7 linked regions of the Sus scrofa genome follow. The protein of the gene in region 3 interacts with the protein of the main gene of each other region in a pairwise test. Links are inferred from orthologs where the notes say so. Each region holds a gene or a part of one and is shown on either strand. Other genes may lie near its edges. The genes, in order: C14H10orf62, PTS, FXR2, MEAF6, ZMAT2, RALYL and nuclear envelope pore membrane protein POM 121C-like.

What was found.
Region 1: the proteins of FXR2 (region 3) and C14H10orf62 interact in binary tests that used the Homo sapiens proteins (3 or more experiments, as listed by UniProt). The two-hybrid records come from large-scale screens. The link is inferred for Sus scrofa from reciprocal best matches to the Homo sapiens genes FXR2 and C10orf62.
Region 2: the proteins of FXR2 (region 3) and PTS interact in binary tests that used the Homo sapiens proteins (3 or more experiments, as listed by UniProt). The two-hybrid records come from large-scale screens. The link is inferred for Sus scrofa from reciprocal best matches to the Homo sapiens genes FXR2 and PTS.
Region 4: the proteins of FXR2 (region 3) and MEAF6 interact in binary tests that used the Homo sapiens proteins (3 or more experiments, as listed by UniProt). The two-hybrid records come from large-scale screens. The link is inferred for Sus scrofa from reciprocal best matches to the Homo sapiens genes FXR2 and MEAF6.
Region 5: the proteins of FXR2 (region 3) and ZMAT2 interact in binary tests that used the Homo sapiens proteins (3 or more experiments, as listed by UniProt). The two-hybrid records come from large-scale screens. The link is inferred for Sus scrofa from reciprocal best matches to the Homo sapiens genes FXR2 and ZMAT2.
Region 6: the proteins of FXR2 (region 3) and RALYL interact in a two-hybrid assay, tested with the Homo sapiens proteins (2 studies listed by BioGRID and IntAct). The link is inferred for Sus scrofa from reciprocal best matches to the Homo sapiens genes FXR2 and RALYL.
Region 7: the proteins of FXR2 (region 3) and nuclear envelope pore membrane protein POM 121C-like interact in binary tests that used the Homo sapiens proteins (3 or more experiments, as listed by UniProt). The two-hybrid records come from large-scale screens. The link is inferred for Sus scrofa from reciprocal best matches to the Homo sapiens genes FXR2 and POM121.

The regions. Positions count from the first base shown.
Region 1 is NC_010456.5:108,961,982-108,966,030, forward strand, and holds the start of C14H10orf62 (uncharacterized protein C10orf62 homolog), read left to right. Parts: upstream 1-1,249; 5' UTR 1,250-2,461; coding exon 2,462-3,460; 3' UTR 3,461-4,049.
Region 2 is NC_010451.4:39,925,423-39,928,837, forward strand, and holds the end of PTS (6-pyruvoyl tetrahydrobiopterin synthase), read left to right. Parts: intron 1-1,685; coding exon 1,686-1,756; intron 1,757-1,949; coding exon 1,950-2,073; 3' UTR 2,074-2,382; downstream 2,383-3,415. UniProt on the Homo sapiens protein: Involved in the biosynthesis of tetrahydrobiopterin, an essential cofactor of aromatic amino acid hydroxylases. Catalyzes the transformation of 7,8-dihydroneopterin triphosphate into 6-pyruvoyl tetrahydropterin.
Region 3 is NC_010454.4:52,892,678-52,897,018, reverse strand, and holds part of FXR2 (fragile X mental retardation syndrome-related protein 2), read left to right. Parts: intron 1-1,487; 5' UTR 1,488-1,540; intron 1,541-1,890; 5' UTR 1,891-1,984; intron 1,985-2,402; 5' UTR 2,403-2,459; coding exon 2,460-2,474; intron 2,475-2,586; coding exon 2,587-2,735; intron 2,736-2,997; coding exon 2,998-3,091; intron 3,092-3,536; coding exon 3,537-3,653; intron 3,654-4,341. UniProt on the Homo sapiens protein: mRNA-binding protein that acts as a regulator of mRNAs translation and/or stability, and which is required for adult hippocampal neurogenesis. Specifically binds to AU-rich elements (AREs) in the 3'-UTR of target mRNAs.
Region 4 is NC_010448.4:93,564,671-93,569,011, reverse strand, and holds part of MEAF6 (chromatin modification-related protein MEAF6), read left to right. Parts: intron 1-2,758; coding exon 2,759-2,951; exon of another isoform or gene 2,952-4,341.
Region 5 is NC_010444.4:142,409,088-142,414,125, forward strand, and holds the start of ZMAT2 (zinc finger matrin-type protein 2), read left to right. Parts: upstream 1-1,882; 5' UTR 1,883-2,016; coding exon 2,017-2,034; intron 2,035-2,366; coding exon 2,367-2,460; intron 2,461-3,563; coding exon 3,564-3,687; intron 3,688-4,613; coding exon 4,614-4,687; intron 4,688-5,038. Other genes in the region: probable histidine--tRNA ligase, mitochondrial, read left to right, coding at 343-402. UniProt on the Homo sapiens protein: Involved in pre-mRNA splicing as a component of the spliceosome.
Region 6 is NC_010446.5:52,216,881-52,221,221, reverse strand, and holds part of RALYL (RNA-binding Raly-like protein), read left to right. Parts: intron 1-1,273; 5' UTR 1,274-1,296; coding exon 1,297-1,552; intron 1,553-4,341.
Region 7 is NW_018085157.1:60,352-65,198, forward strand, and holds the start of nuclear envelope pore membrane protein POM 121C-like, read left to right. Parts: upstream 1-1,578; 5' UTR 1,579-1,672; coding exon 1,673-4,847. UniProt on the Homo sapiens protein: Essential component of the nuclear pore complex (NPC). The repeat-containing domain may be involved in anchoring components of the pore complex to the pore membrane. When overexpressed in cells induces the formation of cytoplasmic annulate lamellae (AL).

The sequences.
Region 1 (4,049 bases), on a different chromosome or scaffold from region 3:
GGCTCGGATCCCGCGTTGCTGTGGCTGTGGCATAGGCCGGTGGCCACAGCTCCGATTCAACCCCTAGCCTGGGAACCTCCATATGCCGCGGGAGCGGCCCAAGAAATAGCAACAGCAACAACAACAACAACAACAACAAAAAAAAGACAAAAAGACAAAAAAAAAAAATCTGTCTCCTTGCCTGTTCCTTGCCCCCTACTGCAGCCAACACTCAGGGGTGGAGGAGGGACCCATCACATTTCACAGTGCCAGGGCCTCCTGCCATGGGTTAAAGGTCCTCCAAAGAGATGGGAACCTGCCCTTGATGAATCTGTGACCATTTAAGAGAATCTTCTGGAAGGCATTGCCTGCAACTGAATAGTTCTTTTTATTTATCTGTGTTTTGGCATTGTTAATTTGTACTAATTATTTGAGTAAAGCATAATCTCTTAAAATAAAACTCATGGAATTGCTCTTATGGTGAAGCAGGTTAAGGATCTGGCATTGCCAACACAGCAGCCTGGGTCGCTGCTGTGGCATAGGTTAGATCCCTGGCCCAGGAACTTTTCCGTGCTGCAAGCACAGCTAAAAAAATAAAATAAAGAGTTCCCGCCGTGGCACAGTGGTTAACGAATCCGACTAGGAACCATGAGGTTGCGGGTTCGGTCCCTGCCCTTGTTCAGTGGGTTAAGGATCTGGCGTTGCCGTGAGCTGTGGTGTAGGTTGCAGATGCGGCTTGGATCCTGAGTTGCTGTGGCTCTGGCGTAGGCCGGTGGCTACAGCTCCGATTAGACCCCTAGCCTGGGAACCTCCATATGCCATGGCAGCGGCCCAAGAAATAGCAAAAAATAATAATAATAATAATAAATAAGATAAAATAAAATAAAATAAAATAAAATAAAAACTTATAACCAGAGACCAGAGGGAGGAGTTTTTGCAGAAGGTCCTTTGTCCCTGAACTCATACCCACAAACAACCTCAAAGGTGAACTTTGAATTGTTATTTCCAAATGAGGTGAGTGGATGACCCCAGAGCTACTCTAGCAAGCCCGGAGAGCTGACATTTCCCCAAAACTTTTTTTTTTTGTCTTTTTGCCATTTCTTGGGCCGCTACCACGGCGTATGGAGATTCCCAGGCTAGGGGTCTAATCGGAGCTGTAGCCACTGGCCTACCCCAGAGCCACAGAAACGCGGGATCCGAGCCGCGTCTGCAACCTACACCACAGCTCATGGCAACGCCGGATCCTTAACCCACTGAGCAAGGCCAGGGATGGAACCCTTGACCTCATGGTTCCTAGTCAGATTCGTTAACCACTGAGCCACGACGGGAACTCCTGCCCAAAACTTTAAGCTTCTGTTATTCCCTTATTATGAAGGATAAACCATGGTTTCTTGGACTAAGGTATAATATTTTGTGTATATTAAAGCCACTACCTTGTTAAATACAGTATTTTAAAATATCACAATTTTAATAGTCCTATTTTGGCATTAAAAAATGTGGTATATGGAGTGCCTGTTGTGGTGCAGCAGAAACGAATCCGACCAGGAACCATGGGGTTGCGGGTTCGATCCCTGGCCTCACTCAGTGGGTTAAGGATCTGGCGTTGCCACGAGCTGTGGTGTAGGTCGCAGATGAGCCTCGGATCCTGCATTGCTGTGGCTGTGGGGTAGTCTGGCAGCTGCAGCTCTGTTTCAACCCTTAGCCTAGGAATTTCCACATGCCACAGGTGTGGCCCTAAAAAGAAAAAAAAAAAAAAAAGTTGTATATGCCTCTGGGAGTGGACCAGGGTTCTTTCTACCCTGAGAGGCCCTGAGTATAACTTGGGATTGGAGGCCAGACTCTCAGTTGTCTGTACATCTAGAGAGCCTGGCCACCTGTCCCAGCAGCTTTTAACCTGAACTGTGCCCACTTACAGGAGAGTCGAGGGTGTGGGCAGATTCTAGGTTTGCAGGTATGACACTAAGGCAAGAGGTGGTGGATCCCTATCCTGGAACAGCCCAGGGATCTAGGGCTGGGTGAAGCTTCCTGTCCTGTCTAATCTTCTCAGCCCACTGCTTGTCTTCCCCCAATTGTGACCTCATGTTATTCCAGAATGTGCTCCTTCCTGGACCCCTTTTTCTTCTCGACCCTGATGTGTAAGGGGGCTGGAGGCCACAAGTGGGGAAGGAATGCACAAAGCTGGCAGTAGAGAAAGACACTAGACTTAGGCAGCCAGGAATGGATGCCAGCCCAGCCAAGTGGGACCTTTGGCCATGGCCAGCCTGACCCAGCAGCCTCTGCCCCTTGGAGACCACCAGATTGAGAGGAAGAGAAACCAACGACTGGAAGATAAGAAGGTCTGAGCTGCAGAATAGGTGACAAGCAGAAGGCAGAAGGGACTCAGAATTGGGGAAGGTGCCCTTCCCCCGGCCTCAGGGACAGCTGTCAGGGTGGGAGAAAGGTCCCAGGCCTCAGGCCATGCCTGTCAGACCAGACATAAGGGATGCCATGGCCTCTCTCCCGCCCCCCGCCCTCCCAACCACCTTCCTCACAATGGGGTTCATTGCTGAGGTGGGAGGGGCCTCCTAGGGAGGGCACAGCAGGGGGCCTGCCTGGCAGATACCCTCGGGGAGCCTGTCTTTTCAAGCATGAGCCATACCATCTGGGCTCCCCCACTTCCAGTGTGCTCTTAGCTCTGCCTGCCTGGCGTGGGGTCCTGGAGACTTTCTTGGAGCTCATCCAGCAACCATCATGCAGGGTGGTGCTGGGAACCGCCCTCTTCCTCGGAGGTGGAGGCCTCATGCTGTGGATGCAGAGGAAGAGGAGAAGGAAGGCAGCTTCTGAGGGTGCACAAGATGAGCAAGAGCCACCAGAAAGCCACGAAGAAAAGAACGAGAACTGGATCAAATCGCACTTTAGCCGTCTTTCCGAAGAGAAGCTGCCCGCCGGAGGAACAGCCGGGACCAGCAGCACGGCCGGGGGCAACTGCGGCATCACGGGGGCTCCCCAGCCTGACGGTGGCATCGGAGAGGCCAGCACGACAATCCCCGGGGAGACCTTCACCACCAGGCAGGGAGAAGACGGCGCGGCTCTTCACCGGGAGTCCTTCACCAGCAAGCAGAGGATGTCTGGGACCTTGGTGACCAAAGAAACTCCCAAGGAGTCTGAAAAATCCTCGGCCACGGAGGAGGCCACGTGGGCCGCCGTGGCTGCCTGTACCAAGGACATTGACGCCAAGGGACAGCAGCTGGCCAACTCCATGCTGCAGCGTGTCATGGCGTGCCAGAACTCAGGCCACCTGGAGTCCAAGGATATCAACCAGGAAGAGCTGAAAGCGCTCGAGGAGGTGCAGTTAAAGCTGAAAGGCAATTTCTTCACCCAGCGGGAAGCCACCATAGCTGGCGCCAACCACACGCACACCTTCCATAGTCACCAGGGCCACCAGGGTCATCCAAGCCACCCGAGCCACCAGAGCCACAGCCTGCCCAACCGCAGCCATTAGACCACCTAACCACGGATGGACATGCCCCTTCCCCCAACAAGGCTGGCACACACAGGCCTGTTTTCTCTCCGATGGGGCAGCCTAGGTGGCCCAGACTAAGATGCTGCCGCCCAAAGCCCCTCTTCGTCAGGCCCCCACAGGAGTCCTGGGCCCTTTTGACTCCTTGAGCAAAGGCTGCCACTGATGTCCCCTGATGAAGGAAGAGCTGGGTGGAAGCCAAGCAGACGCACAGGCCCCTGAAGACCCACTGAGAGGCAATGAAAGAGGCCGATACCAGGAGCAGCCAAGAGCACCTGATGCCAAACGCCTGGACCTGAGCCAATAAAGCCTTGAACACCCTCACTTAGAGTCTGGGGCTCTGGGGCCAGCCTCAGGTGCGGGCAGGCCAGTGGGGAGAGGGTTCCTCCTGCCACGGCCTCTGGGTGGGCTCCGTAAAATTGATTCCTGGGTCTCAGGTTCTGGGGAGTCTCCAGGGGGCTCAACACCCACTGCCCTGCTGTTGCCAGAGAAAGAGAAGCAGCAGCCGGGAGCTGGGAGGAGAGACAGGATTTCAGAGGCAAGGAAGTAAACAGGGGTGGGAGGTGGGCCC
Region 2 (3,415 bases), on a different chromosome or scaffold from region 3:
GACAGAACATTGTAAATCAACTATAATAAAAATTTTTTTTAAAAAAGGAATACAGTGGTGAATGAGACATAGCTCTTAGCCACAGAGTTCACATGCCTTTTTTCCAGGAGGTAAAGAATAATGAGTGCTCAATAAGTGTTCATTGAATAAATAAGAGAATGAATGAGTGAACACAGTACGGTGCTCAGAATACTTTAGAAGAGCTGCAGTGTAGACAGAGTTCTTACATTTACTGGGGATGTAAAGCATATATAAGCCAAGTGGTTTATAATACAAACATGAGAAATAGATGTTCTAAGCAGGCCTACAGTTAATGCTAGAGGAGAGTTTCTCTACACTTATCCCTACTTTTGCATACCTAAGGACATCACACACCCCCATCGGTAAGAGTGGCTCACATGGCTTACAGAGTCAAATTAGAAAGAGTCCTGTAGAAGAGGCTCCCTTCAATGGAAAAGTTGGGAACTGAACTGACAAAGATAAAACAAAGGTTTATTTTCTTGATATCTTGGTATCCATTTGATTATTTTAAAGAGTTTGCTCAAAAAATGATTGCTATTATTGCTGTTGATAATATGGAAAATTATAGATTGTTTCATAAATGCTTAAAATTTTTTAATTGAAGTATGATTGATGTCCAGTATAAGTTAGAAGTATATAAATATACTGATTCATAATTTTTAAAGGTTGTACTCCATTTATGGTTATTATAAGATATGAAATATGAATTCCCCATTTTGTACAATATATCTTTGTAGTTTATTTAATTTTATTTATTTGTTTATTTTGGCCATTCGCAAGGCATGTGGAAGTTCCTGGGCCAGGGATGGAACCTGTGCCACAGCAGTGACCTCAGCTGCTACAGTGATAATGCCAGGTCCTTAACTTGTTGCATCACAAGGGAACTCCATCCTTGTAGGTTATTTTACACATAATGGTTTGTACCTCTTAATTCCCTTCCCTGTGTTCCCTCTCCCCACTGGTAACCATGAGTTTGTTCTCTGTATCGGTGAGTCTGTTTCTTTTTTGTTATATTCCCCAGTTTATTGTATTTTTTAGATTGCTTAGATTTTTTTAATAATAGCTAAAACTAAAAACTTACAAATAAGGCAATTACAGTTCTGTCATTGACAAAGAAAAATGTTATGTTTAATATGTGTGTGTATATAAAAAAGTTTTAGGAAGCAATACTTTATGTGTTTATATTTTTTCTTCTAAGAGCCCAAGATCATTCATAAGTAACTCCTTATGCAAGAATTTAGAACTACTTGCATCATAATTTCAGTCTTATCTCCTTTATAATATGTAGTACTCATTGGATCTTTGTCCTGATGACATTGTGCTAAAGATGAAACTGTTGGGGAGAAGTATTTCTGATAATATTTCGGACAGAATTCAAGAAATGTTAAACTGAATTCTGAATTACAGAGGCTTGTTAGGAGAAAGCTCCAGTGCATTCTCTATTTTTTTGGTTTCTTACCTATTGCATTCAGTAATGAGAATATCTAGTCATTATGGAGAGCTAGGCCTTACTTTATTTTATAACTTGAACCTTTCTGAGATTGTTTTGTAAGACAGTACTTGAAAGTATTGAGTTAGTGTCTAAATGATAAGGCGAGGGTTAGAGGCAAAGTTATACGAATCATAAATGACATCAATGATGTTTTTCTTTGTTTTGTCTGGAGGAGGCAATCATGAAGCCCCTTGATCATAAGAATCTGGATCTGGATGTGCCATACTTTGCAGATGTTGTAAGGTGACTGATTATTTTACCTTACGTAAATAGTAAGAAAGAAGAATTGATTTTGACATTTTTATTTGGTTATTATGTGATTTCTAAAGTTTCAGCTTAGTGGTATCTTTTAAAACTAGAATTTCTGTTCTCTGCAAATATTAAACAGGAAAGTTTGCTTATTTGCCTTTTGATCATCTTTTCTTTTCTCCTACAGCACAACAGAAAATGTAGCTGTATATATATGGGAAAACCTCCAGAAATATCTTCCTGCGGGAGTTCTTTATAAAGTAAAAGTATATGAAACTGACAATAATATTGTAGTCTATAAAGGAGAATAGCTCTTAGAGATTAATACCATAGAAAGGTTTAATTACTTTCCATATTTGAAGACAGTCTTTATTCCCCTGGATAATTGAGAAGTCATCACATGATGGTTATACCCTCGTATTATATTATGAAGTACCTGATTTATTGAAATCATTGTGAGTAAGACCTTTTTTAAATTCCAGTCTATTTTAAATCCAAATCTATGATGTATTCTGGGTGTCATTTAAAGAGTGTATTATCCATAAATTACAATTGTTTTAGCAGAACGTTTTGGTGTAAAATTATTTGAAATCAAAATAAATCTATTTTTGTTTTTTCTATTGCCTCTTTTTAGTGTTCGTTTTCTTTTTGATATAACATAAATGGAAAAAATGTTTATAATACAGCAAATGAATCTTACAAAAAATAAAATACAGGTGGCCACAAAGTCTGAAAACATAGACAACATATATTTGTTAGTAGATTGAGCTCCCTTGATCACTTCTAGGATATGCCAAAGGTACAGGTATATAGAATGAAAATTAGACACAAATCATCTGAGGCAACACATTGTAAATGGAGGTATAGGGACTGCTGCAAATACTGCTTTAGTGCACATCATTCAGTGCTTATTGAACCAGGAACTGCCTGTGAGGAATAGCACATTGAACATATTGTGGAATATCAGTAAAATACTTTTATATTTGTCTACGTTTCAAGACCTGGAGTTCCCATTATGGCACAGTGGAAACAAATCCGAATCTGACTAGTATCCATGAGGATTTGGGTTTGATCCCTGGCCTCGCTCAGTTTGGGTTAAGGATCCCGTGTTGCCGTGAGCTGTGGCGTAGGTCTCAGATGCATCTTGGATCCCACATTGCTGTGGCTGTGGTGTAGGCCGGCAACTGCAGCTCTGATTTGACCCCTAGCCTGGGAACTTCCATAGCCTCAGGTTTGCCCTAAAAAGCAAAAAAAAAAAAAAAAAAAACAAAACCTTATGGCTACCTGAACAATTTAAACTCAGAAGACTGAAAAATAATCTTATGTATTAAACTCTTAAAATAATCATAATGAAAAGGGATATATTACTCTGTACATCATTTCTTGTATACAGTTTTTCCTAATTAATCCTATTTTGTTCTGATAATTAAACTACCTGCTTAAGTTGAACTGTATTTTTGGCCTTTTTTCTCTGGTATCTTTTCCTCATGCCTAAATCTGCAAGAATGTATTTGCTTTCTTCACACAAAGAACTGTTTTCACTTGTTTTCTCATTTGTATTCTAAACCCTTAAAATATAGGGGTTTATTTTTCTCTTCACATAGCAGCTAGTACACAAAGGATTCTTAGAATGTTGCTGCCTGAAAATAGTAA
Region 3 (4,341 bases):
CAATTCAGCAGATAGCTCAGATAGTGGATAGTCTTTCAACAAATGGTGATCAAAGAACTGGATATCCATATGTAAAAAAAACAACCTTTTTTATGATGATATCTTGCACCATATACAAAATTTCGCTCAAAATTTTTTTACACCTAAATGTAAAAAACTATAAAACTGAAGTTCCTGTCGTGGCTCAGCTGTAACGAACCTGACTAGTATCCATGAGCACATGGGTTTGACCCCTGGCCTCGATCAGTGGGTTAAGGATCTGGTGTTGCCACAATCTTTGGTCCTAGGTTGCAGACATAGCTTGGATCTTGTGTTGCTGTGGCTGTGGCGTTAAGCTCAGTTAACAAAAGAGCATATTGATAAATTGGACTTTATCAAAATAAGCAATCTCTAATTTTGAGTTTTTGAAAAATAAAGAGAGACTGTAGCAAAATTGGGAATATAGGATTAAATGGATAGCTTTGGCTTCCTCAGTGAGTCATAGAAAATAGGTAGACCAGCTATTCAGTCATCCCTGTTCCTTCTCTTGTCATGATCTCAAGTTTGGTGTTGTTTCAGTTTCTTTTTATTTTTTTCCTTTTTTGGCTGCCTGAAGCACACAGAGTTCCTGGGCCAGGGATCAGATCCCAGCCACAGTTGCAGCCTTAGCTGCAAAGCCAGATCCTCGTGCTGGGCCGGTAATTGAACCTGTGTCCCAGGGCTCCAGAGACACTGCTGAGCTGATCCCGATGTGCTACAGTAGGAATTCCTTTCCAGTTTCTTAGCAGTGTCCAAGTCTCACATCTTTTTTTTTTTTTTTTTTTTTTTTTTTTTTTTTTTTAAACATAAAAGTGATTTTATTTGCAGGGGAGAGGGACTCTAGTCGAACATGCTAAACCCCATGTTATGGTCTGACTCCCTCACATCTTTTAAATTCTATTTTTTCCTGCCATAAATTGTGTTCATTTTGAACTTCTCCAGTGTTGCGATTATCTCCTTAGGACCCAGTCTTCTAGCCACCAAGTTTGCTGTGTTAGGGAGCTAGACCCTTTTCTCTTGGCAGATCCTGATGTCCTTTAGGTGTTCCAGGGCAGCCTCACACTGTCTCATGGGATATTCTTAGCTTTGCTGAATGTTGTTGGTATTTTAATTGAACTCTGGCAAGCTGCTCAGCACAGCAGGAGGCAGACAGATATGGAGGCCCCTGTGGGAGCCATAGGAGTCCACTAGTTTCCAGGCTGTTGTGATGTAGGTGATGTTTCTCCCTTCTACTTAATTTCTCTCTCAACTTACTGGATTTTGCCACATCTTTTTTCGTGGAATATTATTTCTTTTTTTGCAACTTCAACATTCACATTCCTTCCCCAATACAGCTTTTTTGTCCCTGCTTTTAGATTGCTTGTGTCCCAGTCTAAAATTCCAAAAGTGTCTGTTCCCTTCATAGCTGAGGTTGTGGTAAATTGTCATTTTCTTTTTCTTTTTTTTCATTGTTCTCAAATCCATTCTAGGGCTTTGTGAAGGATGTCCATGAAGACTCTGTCACCATCTTCTTTGAAAACAAGTAAGACCTTGGGAATAGAGAATCCAGTAGGTCCTAGAAGGAGAGTGGAGAAGCGGGGGCGGCTGAATCCCATGAGGCATGTAATAGGTGGGGGAGAGCCAAGGGTTTGGGTGGGCAACTTCTCTGGATCACAGGAGAGGAAAGGGCCGAAATGTGAGGATCGGGGGGCATTTGACTCAGTATTTAGGTTCTCGCAAGAGATGAGAGACACCATTATGGAGGAGGGCCTGGGGTTTAGCGCCTAATCACCAGGGAGGGTAGAAAATGCACAGTGGAGGAAGTAGCCTCTTCCTGAAGAAATGGACAAGTGCAGAGCCTGAATAGCTTTCGTATCACCGTTTCCCTTGCAGCTGGCAGAGTGAGAGACAGATTCCTTTTGGGGACGTCCGGCTACCACCGCCAGCTGACTATAATAAGGAGATTACAGAAGGGGATGAGGTGGAGGTAAGGACCATGGCGTCCTCCCTTGCTAAATGTCGCTTTTCCCAGGATTCTGCATCTCCCTTATCCTGATGCCGGTATCCTGGCCCCGCCACTGTGGCTCACTCTCCTTCCTTCCTAAGCTAAGCTGCTTCATTGAGCTGGGCAGCCTGTGGGAGAGTGAAATGCAGCAGTTCTCTGTCCGTCACTGTGTGATGCAGCCAAGCTCTCAGGGAGCTTCCCAGTTTCAGGGGATTCAGTTCTCTCTGTATAACAACAGCATCTAAAGTCCAGAGCCCTCTGATTTTAATTAGCAGCTCCTTCCTCTGGTTTCCTTTATCTTAGTTTAGGATGCCTCTCACGTGTCTTAATGTTTACTCCATTCTTGATGTTTTTGGATGGTCCTCAATTCTCTTTTATTTTGAACTTCTCTTCTCTTCAGGTTTATTCTCGAGCCAATGAGCAAGAACCTTGCGGCTGGTGGCTGGCCCGAGTGCGGATGATGAAGGGAGATGTGAGTGGTTGTGAAGGTCTTTGCAGAGCTACCAAACCCATTTTAGGGGAAGAAAGGTGGGAGATGGAGACTCAGGTCATCCATAGTTTCTTTCTCTTCTTCCTCCTGCCAGTTCTATGTCATTGAATATGCTGCCTGTGATGCCACTTACAATGAGATTGTCACCCTGGAACGGCTTCGGCCAGTTAATCCCAATCCCCTTGCAACCAAAGGCAGCTTCTTCAAGGTGACCATGGCTGTGCCTGAGGATCTGAGAGAGGCGTGAGTGTTGGGGATGTTGGGAGTGGGGGCCTCTTTATGGTCCTCATCGCTGCCCTTGTTTCTCCCAGGCGCTGCTTCCAGTTTCAGTGTTCTTTGTTGTTCCCGTGGCCCTCTAGAGCCCTTTTTGCTCCCAGTTCCCCTGCTTCCTCATCCCTGTTCTTTTACTCAAGTCCCTCTTATTTTTCTCAGTCCCCTCTTTCTCTCTCCCCTGAACCTTCAACTCTGCACTCTGCCCTCTGAGCACTGTCCTCTTTCCCTGCAGCTGCTCCAATGAAAATGTCCATAAAGAGTTCAAGAAAGCATTGGGAGCCAACTGTATCTTTCTCAACATCACAAATAGTGAGCTCTTCATTCTGGTGAGTTTATTCTGCCTGAATTTCACCTAAGCCCACTCCCCTTTTAATCCTTTGCAAGAAGGAAGAGCTAAAATGTGCTTATATTTATTTGGCAGAGAGGACTGTATAGCTCCAGACCCTTGTGGGCTCGGGTTAGCCTATGTTTCCTTAGTCTTTCTCACGTGTGACCTTAGTTTTTTTCCTACCTGACCATCGTATTACAGTCTGGGCTAGGGACCCTCTCTTGCATATTTGGACTCTCAAAAACATGTGATTCTCACCTGTGTTTGCTACTTAAAATCCTTCCCTTAGGCGCCCATGTAGTAGGTCCTTGTGAGACTGACACGATTTGTTTCTTAACATCCATTCTTTTTCAGAGACTCAGGCATCCTGATTCCCAGTTCCTGGCTCTCTTCCAATGTGCATTCAGTCCATTTTAATGGCCTTTCCATTGTCTTCTTTCCAGTCAACCACAGAAGCTCCTGTGAAACGGGCATCCCTGCTGGGGGATATGCATTTCCGAAGCCTGCGCACCAAACTGCTGCTCATGTCCCGCAATGAGGAAGCTACCAAGCACCTAGAGGTAAGTTTTAAGCCCTTTTTACTGCTGGGTGGTGGTGTTCTCCTCCCTCCCACCCCATTCTCCACCCATGCCCCTGTGTTTGCAGAACAGAGATTAAGGTCTTTCTGGGCCATTTAACCTGGGTCTGCTGTTTTATCCCAGACTCCTCCAGATGGCAGAGCGCCATCATGTTTTAGTACAGGCTCTTTTTTTTTAAAGCTATGGGACCCTTTTGATCAAGTGAAATTTTACATGAAAGCACAGTGCTTTACGGATCAATTAGAGCAGCTCTGTCCAAAAGTTGGAGAGGGTATCATCACTTTCACCTCCACAGGCCACCCCCTGATTTACCTCTGGGAACCAAACTGCTTTGTGGGATGTTTGAGAGCCATGTGCACACTGGCAAGACGACTGGACTTGGAATCCTAAGTCTTGCTTTGGCAAATAATTGCCCTTCAGCAGATAATTGGATTTCAGTGAGCTTTCTCTTCTTTTTAATTTTTTTTAGCTTTCTCTTCTTTACGTGATGGTGAAGTAGTTGAACTAGAGTAGAGTTTTGTGTTTTTTTGTTTTAGGTTTTTTTTTTTTGCTTTTTAGGGCCATACCTGCAGCATATGGAGGTTCCCGGGCTAGGCGTCGAATCGGAGCTGTAGCTGCCAGCCTGCACCACAGGCACAGTGATGCCAGATCCAAGCCACGTCTGTGACCT
Region 4 (4,341 bases), on a different chromosome or scaffold from region 3:
TCTAAGAGTTCTTTATTATGTATTTTGGATACAAGTCTTTATCGGATATATGATTTACAAATATTTTTTCCCATTCTGTGGGTTGTGTTTTTTTTTTATCCTTTTTTTAGGTAACATTGGTTTAAAACATGTAAGTTTCAATATACACAACATTATATTTTAATTTTATGTATATACGACAGCGTGCTCACTACTACAAGTTTAGTTTCCTCCTGTTACCGTGTAGTTGACCTCCATTACTCATTTTTTTTCTTTTTTCTTTTTTTTTTTTTTTTTTTTTTTTAGCTATTTCTTGGGCCGCTCCCGCGGCATATGGAGGTTCCCAGGCTAGGAGTTGAATCGGAGCTGTAGCCTCCGGCCTACGCCAGAGCCACAGCAACTCGGGATCTGAGCCGCGTCTGCAACCTACACCACAGCTCACGGCAATGCTGGATCGTTAACCCACTGGGCGAGGCCAGGGATCCAACCCGCAACCTCATGGTTCCAGGTCGGATTCGTTAACCACTGTGCCACGACGGGAACTCCCCATTACTCATTTTGCCCTTACCTCCCCACTGTGGGTTTTTTACTTTTTTTTTTGGTGATACATGCAGCTCAAGAGTTTTATATGAATGATATGGTTCACTTTACATATACTTTCTTCTGTCATGCTTGTTTTTGTGGTCTTAGCTAAGAAACCTTTGCCTAATCCAATGGATTCTAAAAGTTTTATAGCTCCTGCATTTAGGTCTATGATTCATTTCGAGTTATTATTGTCATTATTTTTTTGGCTCTGCCGGCACCATGTGGAAATTCTCAGGCTAGGGATCGAACCTGCGCCGCAGCAGTGACCCCAGCTGCTGCAGTGATAATGCCAGATCTGTAACCCACTGCGCCACAAAGGAACTCCCATTTCAAGTTATTTATTTATTTTTTTCTGTCTTTTCTAGGGCCTCACCAGCCATACATATATGGAGGTTCCCAGGCTAGGGGTCTAGTCGGAGCTATAGCTGCTGGCCTACGCCAGAGCCACAGCAACTCGGGATCCAAGCTGTGTCTATGACCTACACCACAGCTCATGGCAACCCCATATCCTTAACCCAGTGAGCGAGGCCAGGGATCAAACCCGCAACCTCATGGTTCCTAGTCGGATTCATTAACCACTGAGCCACGATGGGAACTCCATCAAGTGAATTTTTGTATATGGTGTGAGATAGGGTTGCAGGCTTCAGTGATCTCAGCACCATTTGTCAAAAAGACTATCCTTTTTTCATTGAATTGTCTTGTCACCACTGAAAATCAGTTGATCATAAATGTAAGGATTTATATCTGGACGCTGAATTCTGTTCCCTTGACCTATGGTCTGTTCTTATGCCACTACTACACAGTCTTGTTACTCTAGCTTTGTGTGATAAGTTGTGAGGTTCTTTTGCTAATTTTTACATGAAATCTGTTTTCCTAAACTTCAGGACAGGATTGATCAGTTTATTTTATCTAGCTTCATAGTTTTAGAACTCTTCTCTTTTCTTGGTTTCATGAAGTCTTCAAAAATAGGGTTTCATGATGGCTGAGATCCCTTTTGCTTTCTCTTTGCTTTCTCCTGCTTTTTGGGGCCTGCATCTTTTAGCTCTCGTATCCCTGTGCTACTCAGTTTGGAATCTTTCCCGGCAGTTTATGATATAAAAACATAAAAAGAAGAAAGCTGGTCACTGGTCCTGCTGTTCATGTAACCTCTTTTAACAATTTTTAGAAATAGGTAATGTACACATTTAGGATTCTTCAACAGTTCAGTAAAGTGAAAGTCTTCCCCCATCCTTTCGTATTAAGAGTTTCAAGAATTTCCTTTCAGAAAGAAAAAGTATACATTTACCAAAATATATGTAGTTTTTCATGGGTTTCCTGTCGTGGCTCTGTGGTTAACGAATCTGACTAGGAACCATGAGGTTGCAGGTTCGATTCCTGGCCTCGCTCAGTGGGTTAAGAATTCGGTGTTGCTGTGAGCTGTGGTGTAGGTTGCAGATGCAGCTCAGATCCCATGTTGCTGTGGCTCTAGCGTAGGCCAGTGGCTACAGCTCCGATTAGACCCCTAGCCTGGGATCCTCCATATGCCATGTGAGCAGCCCTAGAAAAGGCAAAAAGACCAAAAAAAAAAAAAAATATATATATATATATATATATGTAGTTTTTCTTAAAAAACATGTGTTTATATAAATTGTTCTTGAACTTGCTTGTTTAGTATATCTAAAGGATGTTTTAAATTGGGAATATGTATCATCTGAAGGCTATTATTACCATTAAAAATATCATTCTTAAGGCTTCTGAGAGTAACTTAGGTAATGGGGCTCTTCTCTTGGGCCTGTTTTCTTGGTGGAAGTTAGGATTCCTGTGTGGTTTAGGGAAGGAACCAGGGCCAGCTGTAGGGCGTTTTCCCAAGGTCATCTCTCACCTCCCAAGATTTATGTGATGTTTTCTGTAATGCTTCTCTTATAATTATGAATCCCATTAATGTATCCTATGAGGTTATCCTGGTTGTGTGGTCCATTCTCCCAGCTGTCCATCATCTGTTGCCTCTGGTTACACTGTTTCAGGTTATAGGTTTTTCAGGACCTCTGGTAACTTTGATGCTTTGACTGTATGTATCTTCCTTGTCAATTGGTCCTTGAGGATAAGGGATAGTCTTCTGTGTATTAGGGCTCAGAAAGCATCTTTCCTGACTTGATGGACAGGCTGCCTGAGAATACTGATGACGCTTTGGGGGATTTGTGTTTATTCCCTCCAGGGGAACCAGGAAGTGGGACGGAAAGTGATACTTCTCCTGACTTCCACAATCAGGAAAACGAGCCCAGCCAGGAGGACCCTGAGGATCTGGATGGATCTGTGCAGGGAGTGAAACCTCAGAAGGCTGCTTCTTCTACTTCCTCAGGGAGTCATCACAGCAGCCATAAAAAACGGAAGAATAAAAACCGGCACAGGTCAGTGGCAGGGACCACCTTTACCCATCCCAGCCCCACACACTTAGAGCTTCCATGGCCGTTGCTGTGAAGGGACTTTACTGAAATAAACATTCTTTGGGGTTGGTGCAGTCTTTCTGTTGCTGATGGGGAGACATTCATGTGGTCCAAGGGAAACAGGCTCATTTTTCTCTCTCTAAGGGAGGAATTGGTGGGTATCAGAGTAACTCCGAAGGAAGACAACTTTCTCACTGTTTCTAGTGTAGACAGATTTGATTCCATGACACTTTTGTTTAATGCAGTGACTCTGAAATCTTTTTAGAGGAGGAAAAGGGAAGTAGAATGGAATCTCTGTACTAGCATTTGGAAAATGCCACTAGTATGTATCGGGAAAGGGCAAAGTGGGATAAGTCTTTTGCTCTTAATGCTGATCCCTGCCTATTCTTATTCCCTGGAAGATGGAGAAAACTGATCTGACATGCCTTTTTTCTTGTTAAATACAAGTTTTTTGATTCTGATTTTTAAATTTTTATATATCACTACAATATACTGATTTTAGTATCACAGGAACAGTCTAAAGGCTGTAAGATATGAGAGCACCTTTCTAGATAATGTTGGTCTGCTGGGTTTTTTTGTTTTTGTTTTTTTTGTTTCTTTTTTGCAGTGCGTAATGAGATAGGAATCACATTGGTGGGCAGAGATGTCAGGGGACAGCCAGAGAGGTCACGTGTCCCCCTGCTTAGGGTTAGTATGATAGTTCCAGGGCCTATTAGCTTAGATAATTGGAAATTATACAGCTGCACTCAGAGAGGGTAATGCATAGTTTCTGGAGGCAGGATTCTTGTCCCCAAACCTTCTTCTGAGAGGCATGAAAACCAGATGCTCAGTAGGCTGGCTTTTTCCTGCCCCACTTAGGAGCCTACCTGCCGAGGATATGAAAGGGGGCGTGCAAGGACTGGGTGGGGTTCCGTGTCCTCCAGTTTGCTTCTGGGCTGGCTTGTCCCATAAAACATTCCTTCACACTTGCAGGGTGTTAATGTTAGCTTGGTGGCTGTGGCACACAGGGATAACAGAGAATTGACTCTTAACGGGTGTAAGCCTCCTTGGTATCAACTGATTCTTTAATTCTTTTAAGAGCTTTTCTTGTCTGGTGGTGGTGGTTTTTAGACTGTAGGAATAGTGTATTCTCCAGATAGTGACTAAGGACAGCTGCTTCACATTTTTCTGCAAACCAAAAATCACATGCCAGTCTCATAAGTGCAGTAAGAAAGAGCCAACATTACATACCTTTTTTTTTTTTGGGTAAGGCTATAGTGAATTTGGTCACTGTGAAAGGACTGATGCTACTAGCTTAATCATAAACAGCAGAGAAGCATACTCTTAAAAGTTTTTTTTAATTGTCAAGATAAAA
Region 5 (5,038 bases), on a different chromosome or scaffold from region 3:
GAAATACGTATCTTCTGGCTAAGGAAATATCTCCAGGGTTTATAGTGATAGAGATGAATGAGTACCCCCTCCAGGCAGCCATTGTAGCCAATGATGGCTGGGCAGGCAAGAAGACAAATGAAATCTCTTTGGGTATCTGGAGATAAAATAAACATAGATCCGGTGTTTGAATCCCTTTAGTCTTGAGCTCCTACCTTCTTCAGGTCAGCTTGAAGCCCAGACTCCCTACCGGTTGCATAGGTCATGGGAATAGTTGCCAAATTAAATGAATCTGGAAAAGCAGTGTCTGAGGTGCTAGTATCACTCTCTAGTTTGTCACATGAAGATTCTCTTATGTTTCAGGTGGCCATTAAGCGAGAAAATCTTGTGGCTGAAATTCAGAAGCGACTATCTGAGTCTTGATCCTTGCCTGAATGCCACCTGCTGCTCTTTGTAGAAAAGGTTTCATCTAGGACTGAGTTCCTGTTCCACAACTTTACAACTGCTGGCCAGGATGGCTGACTCGTGCCTACGCATCCTCCATCTTTTCTGGGTACAGAATTGTAGGAGGTCCTGAGGACTCTGGGGCTAGTGAGAGCAGCTATACTGCATGGGCGCAGATGGCTGGTATGTGACAGAGACATGCTCTAACTGCAGAGGCAGATGGCAGACTTGCAGTGCCGTTGAACGCTGCCAACATGTGCTAATAAGATGGTTGCTGTGAACAAGTCTCTGGGAAAGTCACCTCAGGTTGAGACGATTCTGAACCACTGAGATCAGAAGTCATGTCTTAGCCTTCCACTCTTCGCTTCTGAACCAAATTCTGGGCAGTTTGACCACTGTGTGGTCTTGGCCTGTCCAGGGAGTTTTTGGTAAACAGCAAGAAGGGGCAATGACTGCTCTCTGTTTTGTTTGAGGACAGAGATGCTAGCCCAAGGGCCCAGCAGTGCCCATATTAATATGACGTCTCTCTAGCCTACCCAGTGTTAATCAGGGTGAGGCCGTCTGTTTAATAATCTTGAATGTTGAATTTAATAGGCGACCTGACAAGATGGAGATCTGATCTTTTGAGACTTTGGAGACCATTACCTATGCCTGCTCTAACTAGTCCATGTCCTGCCGTGGAGGTGGCTGTTCTAGAAGTGGTTGTATAATATATTAAATAAAATATTAAATCTAGAAGCTTGGGTAATTTGTTATCGAGGGATTTGTTTGCATAGGCCATAGAAAACGCTTGAGTGCACACTGGAGGATGCAGTGAGCTAAGAGGAACGTCCCTGGGGTGATGTTTTATTTTTGGTGAAGGGAACAGCCATGCTTCCTCCTCCCCGCAGCTGTGAGATACAGTCACCTCACTAAGTCAGTGTGTAGTGTGACATTTGCTAGAGTTCTTCACCCTAGAGTGTTGCTGATGACTGGCCTTCCCAGGTCCGATCGTGTTGATTAAATTGTGCCCTGTAGATTGAATAATTGTGATGTTTCTCAGTTGAAGGAAAAATGAGTTAACCAAGGGGTGATAGCATTGCTTCAAGATAAAGAGACAAAATGCAAACAGCGCTTTCAGTTTGTGCATTAGGAAGACTACAGCCTGTGCAAACTCTTAGGAGCTCTGGGGCCCTATCTTCAGTGCACACAGGTAAAGAGGCATCTAGAGCCCCTGATAACAGAACTTCAGCCTTAAGAAGGTTTGGAAACTCTTGGCAGTGCACGCAGGTTGGTTAGACTAGACCGGAGGGCGCTGATCTGAACTTCATTTTCCTCTTACGTAAAATGGAAGGGTTGAATCTGTGCTTGTTTTTAAAGCCAGGGTGAAAAACCCTCGCAGGCGCCCTTACTTCCGCGTTGCTTCATACTCCCCTTGCGCATGCGCCATTTCCTTGGAGCAGGGGCGGGGCCGACGATCTTGTTTTAGAAATCCTCCAGTCCTTAGCTCGTTTAGAACACGAGACTCTAAGCTTATTGGAGGGCGGGCTTGCCTTACGGCGCAAGGCCGCTTTTTACGGCATTTTCCGGCTTTCCATTCACTTCGCTGTGAAGATGGCGTCGGGTAGCGGGGTAGGTGTTGTGTGTGAGGAGGCTTGGGATGGGGGGTGCGGGGCGGCTTTTCGGCGCTGAATACCCCGCACCCGCCTGGCTTCCCGACACCTCCTGGCGATCTAACCGCCTTGGTTTGAGAGCTCCCCCGTAAGGCCCTGGCGCAGGGTCATCGGAAGCGGGAAGGTCTCGGGTTGGGGTCCTGAGGCAACCTCAGCCTCCCGGTGCTGTCCGGAGAGGCTTCGCTCTTCCCAGGTCCCGGGGCCGCCTTAGCGGCTGGGGAGCGGTTTCTTCTGTTTGTCCAGGGGTCGGACACGATTAGCGACGAATCTTCAGCCCCTTTTCCCCCACAGGCAAAAAACTTGGACTTTCGCCGAAAGTGGGACAAAGATGAATATGAGAAGCTTGCGGAGAAGAGGCTCACAGAAGAGAGAGAAAAGAAGGATGGTGGGTGCCTGTTCCATCAAGTGCTAAGTGTACTGCAGATGCGAAGCAATGGTTAGCGAGTCGGTGGGGGGTTGAAACGCGCTGCCCCCTTTCCTGTGTAACCTCCGGCAGAATAGTGCCTCCCTGGCTCCTCAGGTAGAAAAGTAAGATAGGCGTGAGGAGATGAACTGAAATGGTTTGGAGGTGCTTTCCGGCTCTGCGGTTCCCTGCTTCCTTGCCCTTCCTTTGCTTGGCTCATTTAGTGCTTTCCTCAAGTACAGGGAAGACAGTGGAATCCTCAGTAGTGATCCTCAGAAGAAGTTAAGTGGAGTGTTTTTGCTGCTGTGTATTGCTGCTATTGAACGTGGGATTCTTAACACCGGATTCTTAACCTGGGGAACGTGGGATTGATTGTTTCATCTAGTGCTTACGGCTGTTCTCTGTGCCTTACATTTTGTCAGGGAGTTGGTCTTATTTTCTTTTCTGTTTTCAGACTTGTACTTTCTTTTGCTTTACTTGCATACTCCAGCACTTTTGGTTTTTATGTAACTCATGCAATAGTACTTGGCATATAGCAGATATTTCCTAGATAATAGTTCTTCTTTAAAAAACTTCCCCAGCTCTCAGAAGATTGCCGTGTTACACATGGGGTATCTGTCTGAAAACACTAAATGAGTGGTCTTGCTTTTCTTTTCTTTTTTGTCTTTTTAGCAGCATTCGCAGCATATGAAGGTTCCCAGTCTAGGGGTCGAGTCCGAGCCATAGCTGCTGGCCTACACCACAGCTCACAGCAACACCGGATTCTTAACCCACTGAGGCCAGGGATCAAACCTACGTCCTCATGGATACTAGTCAGATTCATTTCCGCTGAGCCAGGATGGGAACGCCATAGACTTGTTGGCTTTAAAGTGGAGAAAAGATGTAGGGAGTTAAGGATTGCTTATCATTTTTGCTGTGTTGAAATTCTCTGTAGCTACTGCTAGAAGGGACTCTTTTGTCCCTTGCTTCAGGTTTCAAAAAAGAAATGAAGGTAGACTTCTGGATTTTGCATTTTATGCATTTCTTTTCCTTTCTGGCTAAGGATCTCTGATAATGAAGCGACTTCCTTCCCCATTATATTCCAGGAAAGCCCGTGCAGCCAGTCAAGCGAGAGCTTCTCCGGCATAGAGATTACAAGGTGGACCTGGAATCCAAGCTCGGGAAGACAATTGTCATTACCAAGACTACCCCACAGTCTGAGATGGGAGGGTAAGTGGCTTTTCATTTATCTCTGCATCCAGGAGTAAGTCACATAAAACTAGGTTGGTTTCAGGAAGTGTTGAGCAGGATACTTGGCCCCAGAATAATAACCTTGTTTTCTGTCATTCCATGCTTTGTTCTCCAAGGCCTCAAGTTAACATAATAGTGTCTCTACGAGGTGTCACTCTGTAGGCTTTGTTATATTAGTACTATAACTACTTCTTAATATCTTAAAGGGAATTGTTTGTTCTCCTGCCAGAGGAAGACATGAAGGAAAGGTCTACTGAGGAGATGTCTAGGGGAGGAATTAGGTGAAGCTAGAATGAAGCCCAGGAGCTGTTGATGGTGGATAAAGGGGGTTAAGGTTGTGGACTAACTAGCTGCAAAGGTTGTAGTTGTTACGGATTTCCTGGTTGTGCACCTTGCTATTAGACCAAGACTATAAGCTTTAGAAAGAAGGCTCCCACAGGAACTCTCCTTCCTTTGGCCCACCACTACTTCTCTGTCCAGTTAGGTTTTCCAGCAGGAGGATCACACAGATAGCAATGTGTGACACTTCTCTGAGCTGCTTAGTAGACCCGCTGTTGTCATTCCTCTTTGTGTTAGTTATCTGCTGCTATAGAAATGAATACATTAACCCAAGACTTAGCAGCGTAAAACAGCAGGTAGCTCACAATATCTGGGGGTAAGGAATCTGGGACTTACTTAGGTGGTTCTGGCTCAGGCTTTCTCACAAAGTTGCCCTCAAAGGTCTGCATTCATCTGAGGTATAAGTGGGTCTAGAGGGTCTGCTTCCTAGCTCTGTCATGCTGTGGTGTGGAGGCCTCTTTGTTCTAAAAAGAACTTTGATTTCAAAATACATGTTTCTTGGTCAAAAGCGACAAAATCCTTACAACAATCCACCAACCCGAGTGCTGTTTCTTTCTGTTTTCTAGGTATTACTGCAATGTCTGTGACTGTGTAGTGAAAGACTCTATCAACTTCCTGGATCACATTAATGGAAAGAAACGTAAGGCTCAGAGGTAGTTTGGGGCTGGGATGGGAATTGGAGATAGGGTGGGGGAAAGGGTCATTTCTCTTGGGCCTCTTTTTTAATGTCAAGGGAATTCTATAGTTCCTTCAGCATAGGATCCTTTACTATTTATTTAATGTTTCTGGAGTCCAAGAGGTGCGAATCTGTTCTAGACTCTCAACAAGCCCAAGCCCAAACCATGGTCTTTTCTTGGGCCCAGCTGTCCACACTCACATGCATGTACTCTGTAAGGATAGTTGAAAGCCGCTTATATCTTGTTATCTGGAGCTGCTGCCAAAGGATATATATTTTTTTTTTTTAGCCATATTATTTTTTTGCATGCTTTCT
Region 6 (4,341 bases), on a different chromosome or scaffold from region 3:
AATTTCCAAGTATATCTAATTTACATGCTTTTAAGATTCTATCTCTTCAATGCTCAATTTACAAATATCATTCTAAATTATTTTTTAAAGTAAGATGCACTTACTAATTATTTTTATAGCTATAAGATTTTAAAAGAGATTATTCATATAAAAATATGCTGCTGATAAAATGTATCTATTAGCTAGTATCCAACAGTGATCATCAATATCAGAGATTGTATCCTTGCTGAAATTTTAGTTTCACCGTGTTAGTTTTTTTAAATTGTTAGGAGAAGATGATGTCTGGCAAAAAAAAAAAAAAAAAAAAAAAAAAGTTGTTAATAAATATTGTGAAATGAATGAATGGATGAATTTTTAAAGTTTAAAAAATAAATCTGTAAGTGCTGGCATACTTGGAAATAAAAGTTTCATTGAGTTTAATTAAGCACAATTAAACATTCTGCCAAGCTCAGAAAGTGGTTTTTAGAACTACTAGCAGTCCTTAGGCAACATAGGAGCCGTTAGTTAAATTAATTAAAAATGAGGTTGAGAATAGAAATTTCAACACAGAAACAAGGACTGTGAATTTGCTGATCATTGATGAAAACTAGCTACACATACTGGGTTTTAATGAAACTGACATTTGAAATTGGATCAACTAAAGAGAATGTATAGAATTATTTCTGTTTAAATCCTTTATTTTCAAAATCATTTTTCTTGTGTTAACTTTTCTAATTAATGTTTATACTTTTAATATCTCTTTTTTCTCTTCCACAGCATTTAATGGAACGAATTGTTAGTTTCTGATAAAAGGGTTCTGATAGTGAAATAGCCAATATCTACCAATTATGTAACATGTAGAAATAAAAACACATGTTCTCAACAATAAATGGAGCCTACAGTACTATGGTCCATCATCAGACTTTAGCTATGATGGATATTCTTTTTCATTGATTAATTAGGTGACTTATTCTTCACACTTGCTTCTGAAATATTTATAAACTTAAAAATAAAGCAAAGAGTTTAATTACTGTACAGGTCAAAATTTTAGATAAATAAATCTGGAATTTATGTATAAATATATGCTGAATAATTAAACATATTTTCCTATTGCATTTTGCAATGCAGTAGTACCTTTTATATAACTAAATTTTCCTCTCAAGAAAATCAGTAGTACCTATGTATTTGAGGTTACCTGGTACAGTACTGAAAAACTGTTAAAAGCCAGTGGTATCCATTCAATCTAATTCTTTCCATTTTGATTGTTTTGTTTGTTTTTTTGTTTTTGTTTAAGAGTTAAAACAAGGCGAGCCAACCATGACTGGCAAAACGCAGACCAGCAATGTCACCAATAAGAATGACCCCAAGTCCATCAACTCTCGAGTTTTCATTGGAAATCTAAATACAGCCATTGTCAAGAAAGTTGACATTGAAGCCATTTTCTCAAAATATGGAAAAATAGTTGGCTGCTCAGTTCACAAAGGTTACGCATTTGTACAGTACATGAGTGAGCGACACGCAAGAGCTGCAGTGGCTGGAGAAAATGCCAGGATCATCGCTGGACAACCACTGGGTAAGTCCTGCTCAGTTACAGATCTCATATTGATGTTCTTGTCTCTGCACATATCTAGACATGGTCTTATTGTTTAAAAGCCAGCACTCCATAATATTTCTGTCTTTACCAACTATAGTGCTCATATATTTATAATTTATATTATTCTCTTTTTCTCATATTGTTTTACATATGTGTCTTATTTTCTCTACAAATTTATAAGCTTGAGGTCAAGTCTGCTTTGTAACACTTGTTACCTCCACCAATACTAACAGGTCCAGGCAAATTAAAAATGTGCGTCATATTTAACCTTATTTGACTTGAAATGGTGTTTTTGTCTTCCAGGAAACACTATGCTGAGCAACAAAACCAAACCAAATAACTTTACTTATTTATACCTTTGCTCTTGAGGGGCTGATATATTTTCCTCATTTATTGTTTGTATTTGTGGAGAGAAGGGATGGAAAATAACAAAAGGAAATGAATCTTGAGAATTGGGAAAGGAATATAACCTATTATTTCTTATCTAGACAGGAATCTTGTATGTCATGACTGTTCATTCATGTGTAATAATCAGATTTATGTCTAATGTGCAAGGAATAATACAGTTTTTTCTTTCACAAAGAAAGTCAGAGGTAAAGTGAAACTTCTTTGGAGAAAATATTTTGTTAGTATGCAGATAAAAATAAAAATTAGTCTTTTTCTATTAGGAAAAGGTATAATGAAGACATCAGTGATTTCCTAATTTTGATCTATTGTCACGTGCACATTTATATATTAAACTGATTATACAACATCTTCTTGTGGCTATCCAACAGGCATCTCAGCTGTTATGCCCAGAATACAGAACAATACTCTTGATTATTCACACCCCAGCTTCTTCCACCCCATGCTTCTCCATCACATCAAATAGAACCCCCATTTATCCTGTTTTCCAAATGAAGGCTTAGGTGTCAACCTCAATTCTTCTCTTCCTCCCCCACTCTAAATGTAAACCATCATCATGTTTATTGCCATCAGTATATCCCAAACGCAATCAACTTTTAAATCTATATCAATAGCCATCTAATACAGACCACCTTTATATCACGTGGACCATTGAAATACCCCTCTAACTGGTCTGCCTCTTTCCATTCTTGCCAGAGTGCCCCTTTAAAACCTAAGATGATGCTGTTGATATGCTCTTGAGTGCCTCCATCTCACCCAGAACAAGATTTATGTTCTGTAACAAAACTACGGTGCCCCACACTACCACATTTCAACTCCATCTTCTTTTCTCTACCTTCTTGTATCACTTCAGTGTTGCTGTCCATCCTGATATCCCTCAACCATTCCGATATTGTTTCTGCCTCGGACTCTTTGGACTTGCCATTCCCTCTGCTCTGAAAACAGGTCTTGGCTAATTATTTTCTTCCTTCTACTTTATTGTATGCTGTGCTTGAATTCTACTTACCCAAAGAGGCTTTTCAACCTATTTAAAATAAAATAGTCTTCTGCCCTCTTGCCTACACTCTCTAATCTATTATTCTACTTCATATCTCTGAAATTACATATTTCAATTTATGATGCTACTACTATAATGTACACAGACATAAAGACACAGGAGCATATGAAGGAAACGAGATAAAAGCATAGATAAATCAGATTAGAAGGGTGTGATAAAATTGCATTATCAAGTTATTTGAAAATTTGGGGGGAAAGTATGGAATCCAATAAAATGAGAGTGATGTCTAGGTAACAGTCTTGAGGACAAAAAAGATATCTTAAATAAATGCTTGGTATAAAACCACAAATAGTGATTACTATAAAGGAATATACTCTTACTATAGTTCTACAACTCACATATCTATATTTTAAAGACAGATAGTGCTTTCCAAAAGACTTTAGTAAGTTTTACATTTGTCCCCTTTTTTAATGTCCCCATTTTACTTGTTGACCTTGATATGGGAGTTTTCTGACCAATTTTCTTTCTAAGTTAAATTCCTTCTTTGGGGCAATATCTGAGCCACTATCAGAGAAATACCCATTTATTGCCTATGTCTTGGTTGTATGAAATTAGTACATACTAGAAATTCATTAAATCATTAATTTTTAAAAATTAATTACCAGAGAATGTTTTGCCTATGTTCTCTTCCAGGAGTTTGATGGTGTCTTGTCTTATATTTAAGTCTTTCAGCCATATTGAGTTTATTTTGGTATTTGGTATGAGGGTGTGTTCTAGTTTCATTGATTTGCATGCAGCTGTCCAGGTTCCCCAGCAAAACTTGCTGAAAAGAATGTCTTTTTCCCATTTTATATTCCTGCCTCCTTTGTCAAAGATGACCCAGCAATCCCACTCTTGGGCATATACTTGGACAAAACTACTTAAAAAAGACACATGCACCCACATATTCATTGCAGCTCTATTCACAATTGCCAAGACATGGAATCAACCAAAATGTCCACTGATAGATGATTAGATTAGGAAGATGTGGTATATATACATAATGGAATACTACTCGGCCATAACAAAGAACAAAATAAGGCCATTTGCAGCAATGTGCATGGAACTAGAGACTCTCATCCCGAGTGAAGTAAGTCACAAAGAGAAAGACAAATACCATATGATATCATTTATATCTGGACTCTAATATATGGCACAAAGGAAACTTTTCCACAGAAAAGAAAATCATTGACTTGGAGAATAGACTTCTGGTTGGCAAGGGGGAAGGAGAGGGAGTGGGAGAGACTGGGAGCTTGGGGTAAATAGATGCAGAATGTTGCCTTAGGGATGGATTAGCAATGACATCCTGCTGTGTAGACTGAGAACT
Region 7 (4,847 bases), on a different chromosome or scaffold from region 3:
TTTGGCGCTCGAGCTTAATTTTTCCTACATAGGTGCAGTGTGTGTCCTTTGGCCAACATATGCTCATTTCTCCCACCTCTCTGCCCCTGGTGAGCTCTGTTCTAGTCTTTGCTTCTATGTATTCCACTTTTGGATCCTATAAATGAGTGAGATCATTCTATCTTTTTGTGTTTGGTTTATGTGATTTAGCAGGTCTTCCAGGTTCATCTGTTTTGCTGCAAGTGGCCGGATCTCTTGGGCATTTAAGGCTGGATAACACACACACACACACACACACACACACACACACACACACACACACACACACACACACACACACACACACACACACACACACACACACACACACACACACACACACACACACACACACACACACACACACACACACACACACACACACACACACACACACACACACACACGTTATCCATTCATCTGTTGTTGGGCACTTACCTGGTTTTCTTATATTGGTTATGGTGAATGTTCCTGCAGTGAACATGGGAGTGCAGATATCATTTTGAAGTACCGATTTCATGTCCTTCAGTTTGAAATTGCTGTATCCTATGGTATTTTTTTTTTTTTCCTTTAACTTTTTGAGGAATCTCCATGCTGGTTCCCACCATGGCTGTACTAATTTACATTCAAATGAGATGACCTCATTTGGTTTCTTTTTAACCATTCAGATGGAATCATCTGAATGATTACAAGTCATGTAGTCATATGAGGGAACAAGTAATCGGTCCTTTGGAAGTTTTAAAACTGTGGGGCACCAAAGACTATTATTTTGGTCGAATATATTAGACTATTTACCTGTCTATCTATGTAAAGATAGTGTTTTATTTGTGTTCTTTTCTGAATCCTCTAAACATTTTAACATACAGACATGTAGTACGTTTCTCCACTTTCTCATTATTTCAACCGTAGATAAAAATACAAAGATGATGAATCATTCATCATATGGAGATTATGTTTAACATGTCTTAACATGTTACTTAGGTCTATTTCAGATTTGGAAAGTGTTGTAAAATCAAGTACAGTACATCCCACTGAGGTTCCCCTTTTGTCTTCATTGATAGCCTCATCCCCTGCCTGTGTAGCATTATCCTAAAGTTGACATTCTCCAAGCATTTTTATGATATAGGTATATGTGTCTGTATCTTACCTATGTGATTATTTTCACTCAAGTATATCTGGCGCATGCACATTTGTTTTGGGGGTTTTATTTTTGACTGTTTGTTATTATTATTTATTCCGGGGCTACCCTTGCTTGCGTAGTCACGGTGTCTGCAGCAGCTGCGGTGACTGCAGGAGGCAACCTGTGGAGCGGAGGTTGATAGCCAGTGTTAGGGACCTTGGGTCTGTGGGCTGGTGCCGCCAGGGGCAGGGGCAGCGCTGCTGGGCCTGTGGCTGCTGGGCCTCGTGCTGTACTTGGTGCCCGCGGGGGTGGCGGTTACGCTGGCCTGGCTAGCTGTGGGGGCGACCGCGGCCTGGTGGGGCCTGCGCCGCGAGCCCCCCGAGGTTCACGCGCCTTCCGAACCTCGCTGGTTCTGAAGGCGCGCTGCCATGGAACACTGCTCACCTTGCCTCCGGCGTAGTCAGCAGTAAACGGAAGTCTCCTAGAGCCTCCGCGCCTCTTCCAAGGACTTGGACCCGCGCTCATCTGTTCCTCATGGGCAACTACCTAGGCAAGCCCGCCCCCCCGCAGCCTGCCTCCACCTCGGAGGCCAGGGACCTGCGGGAGAGGCCTGGCCGCCGCCCGCCCACCCGCCCCATGCCGCCAGCTCCATCAGGCCATACCCCCGGGGTTCATACTCACCCCTCCCTACCCACTCCTCTTCCCCGACCCTCTAGGAGGACGGCCCTCCGGGGTTGTGGCCCTGTAGCACATCGGTTTGTAATAACACCTCGAAGGAGATACCCAATCCAGCAGGCCCACTATGCCTCGCTGGGGGTCCTTCCCACGGTGTGCTGGAATAGTTGTCACAGGAAGACTGTGCTCTCTGCTCGCAATTCCAAAGTGGTGTGCAGCCCAGTGAGAGTGAGGATTGCTCCTCCGGATAGCAAGCGGATTCGTCCCCCGCTATCAGAGCAGAGTAGCAGCTCAACCGTGTCCTCCCCATCAGCTAGTGCCCCAGACCCATGTGCAAAGGAGACTGTGCTGAGTGCCCTCAGAGCGAGGAAGAAAAGGACGGTGAAGGAGGAAGACCAAATACTGGCTGATGGCCAGGAAGAAAAGAGAAGGCGCCAGGACAGCAGTGGACGTGGACATTCAGCATTTGAGCCGCTGGCGGCCAGTGGAATCCCTGCCTCTTTTGTGCCTAAGCCTGGGTCTCTGAAGAGAGGTCTCAGTCCCCAGAGCTCAGATGCCCACTTAAATAAGAGGTCACGCACCTCTTCTCTGAGCTCCTTGACCAGCACGTACTCAGGCGGCGTGCCCATCTCCAGGCGCAATGCCATCACCAGTTCTTACAGTTCTACTGGAGGTCTCTCTCAGCTGCGGAAGAGGAGTGGTCCTAGGTCATCCCCCTTCTCCAGGCCAGCTTCGTCCTGCTCCCAGGCTCTAGCGAGGCCAGCAAAGGAAATAAGAGAAGAGGAACTTTCTCATCATTCGGCTTCTTCAACTGCATTCACAACAGACAAGGAGTCCCAGGGAGCAGAAGTTGCCGATACCACCACAAGGGAGAAAGAGAACTCGTGGAGTTCTCCACCAACACCTGGCAGCTCAGGGCAGCGTAAGCGGAAGGTGCAGCTGCTGCGGTCCTGGCGAGGGGAGCAGCTGACCTTGCCTCCACCTCCCCAGCTTGGGTATTCAGTCACTGCGGAAGACTTAGACTTGGAAAAGAAAGCTTTGTCACAATGGTTCAGCGAGATCTTGGAGGATAAGACTGATACTGCCTTGAGCGCTGTCCCTGAGAACCCACCTACCGGTCAGCCTCCGGTCTCTTTCAGCCTGCCTACTGCTGGGACTCCTGCCACCAAAACCTCCCTCCCAGCCCCAAGCCCTAGCCCACTGTTGAAGAGCTTGAAGAAGCAGCAGGATTCCCCAGGCCTACCATCGCCCCCCAAGTCTGCTGGCATGGCAAGCCCTGTGGCCCATTCGCCTCCGAAGACACCCAGCCCTCTGGCCCCTCTTGGCTCTTCACAGTCAGGGCCTCTCGCGGGCACCTCCTCGGACTGCAAACCTACAGCCGTTTTCTGTGGCGGCACCCTTACCCCCGCTTCTTCCACAGGACCAGTCACTGACACCAAGTCACCTCCAGCCCCTGAGGCTGAGACGTCTGCCAACTCCCAAGCCTTGTCGGCCCCCCCTCCCCCTCCCAAGCAGAACATTCCTTGTAGAATGCTGGGCACCTCACCTGCTAAGCCTCCTGCCTCTGCAGCTCCTGCTGTGTCTTCACCATCTCCCGTGCTAGATCCCATTTTTTGGCCCCCTCCTAAAAGCAAGAACGAGGGCCCCTTGCCCTCTAGCCCTTCCAAGGTCCCAGCCACCACATCTTCCAGCTCAGCCCTCCCCGCAAGTACCCGCAGCCCATCCCGCACTTTTAAACCTGGCTTTCACACCAGGGAGGCCCCTGCATCCGTGCCCATAGTAACTCCCTTCTTCAAGCAGGCAGCTCCTCCAGCCAGTGCTATGAGCGCCCCTCTCTTCCCTGGCCAGACCCGCGCCACCTCTGCAGTGGCTGCTGCGACCACAGCTGGCACCTCCGTAGACTCTGCTCTGAAGCCCGTGTTCAGCTTCCGTGTGAGCAGCATGACCAGCACCCTGAGCCGCGTGACTAGCACCACCGCTTCCACCTCCCAGCCCGTCCTCTTTGGGACTCCCTCTGCCTCTGGTGGCAGCTTCACAAACCCAGCTGTGGGTTCCAGCTCCATAGTCCAGCTTGGTAAGCCTCCCACCATGCCTCCTTCAAGAGCAGTCACCAGCTTTGGCCAGTCCCTTCCCGGTGCCCCTCAGGCAGTGGCCAGCAGCAGCAGCAGCAGCAGCAGCAGCAGCAGCAGCAGCGCTAGCACTGCTGGCTTTAGTGATTTGGGCAGCAGCCTTCCAGCCTCTGCCCCAGCCACCACCAGCCAGGCCACGCTGACATTCAGTAGCACCCCCCGCCCAGCCATCAGCGTTCCCTTTGGCTCAAGTGCCAAGCCAGGATCCAACGCCCAGCCCAGGTTTGGGGCCACTGATGGGCAGCAGCAGTGGGCTGCCAAGCCATCCCTTGTCCCCAGCTTGTGCAGCTCCTTCACGTTGGGAAACTCTGCAGCCCCCGCCCCGACTGCCACTCCAGCCACAGCCCAGCCAGCCTTTGGCAGCACCACACAGTCCACTCTTGGTGGCCTGAAAGCCACAGCCTCTGCCTCGGGCACCCTTGCCGGCCCCCAGCCAGCCTTTGGCAGCACCACAGCCGTTTTCTCCTTTGGTGCAGCCACCACCTCTGGCTTTGGAGCTACAGCCCAGACCACCGGCAGTGGGGCCAGTCGCTCCAGTAGCACGACACCATCTCCCTTCACATTTGGGGGACGGGCAGCCCCACCGTCTGGCAGCAGAGGCTTTGGGCTCAGTGTGGCTTCGCCAGGCACCAGCTCTGCCTCAGGAGCCTTTGGCTCCGGAGCAGGACAGAGTGGGACCGCTGGCAGCACGACTCCTTTTGTGGGAGGCTTGAGTCAGAAGAGCCTGGGTGCACCCAGCCAGAACACATCCTTTGGCCTCAATGTGGCCTGCAGTGCAGAGAGCCAACCTGTGTTTGGAGGCGCCTCCACGCCCACCTTTGGTCAGAGCACCCCTGGCCCTGGGGTGGGCACATCAGGCAGCAGCCTCTCCTTTGGGGCGTCCTCAACACCCATCCAGGGCTTTG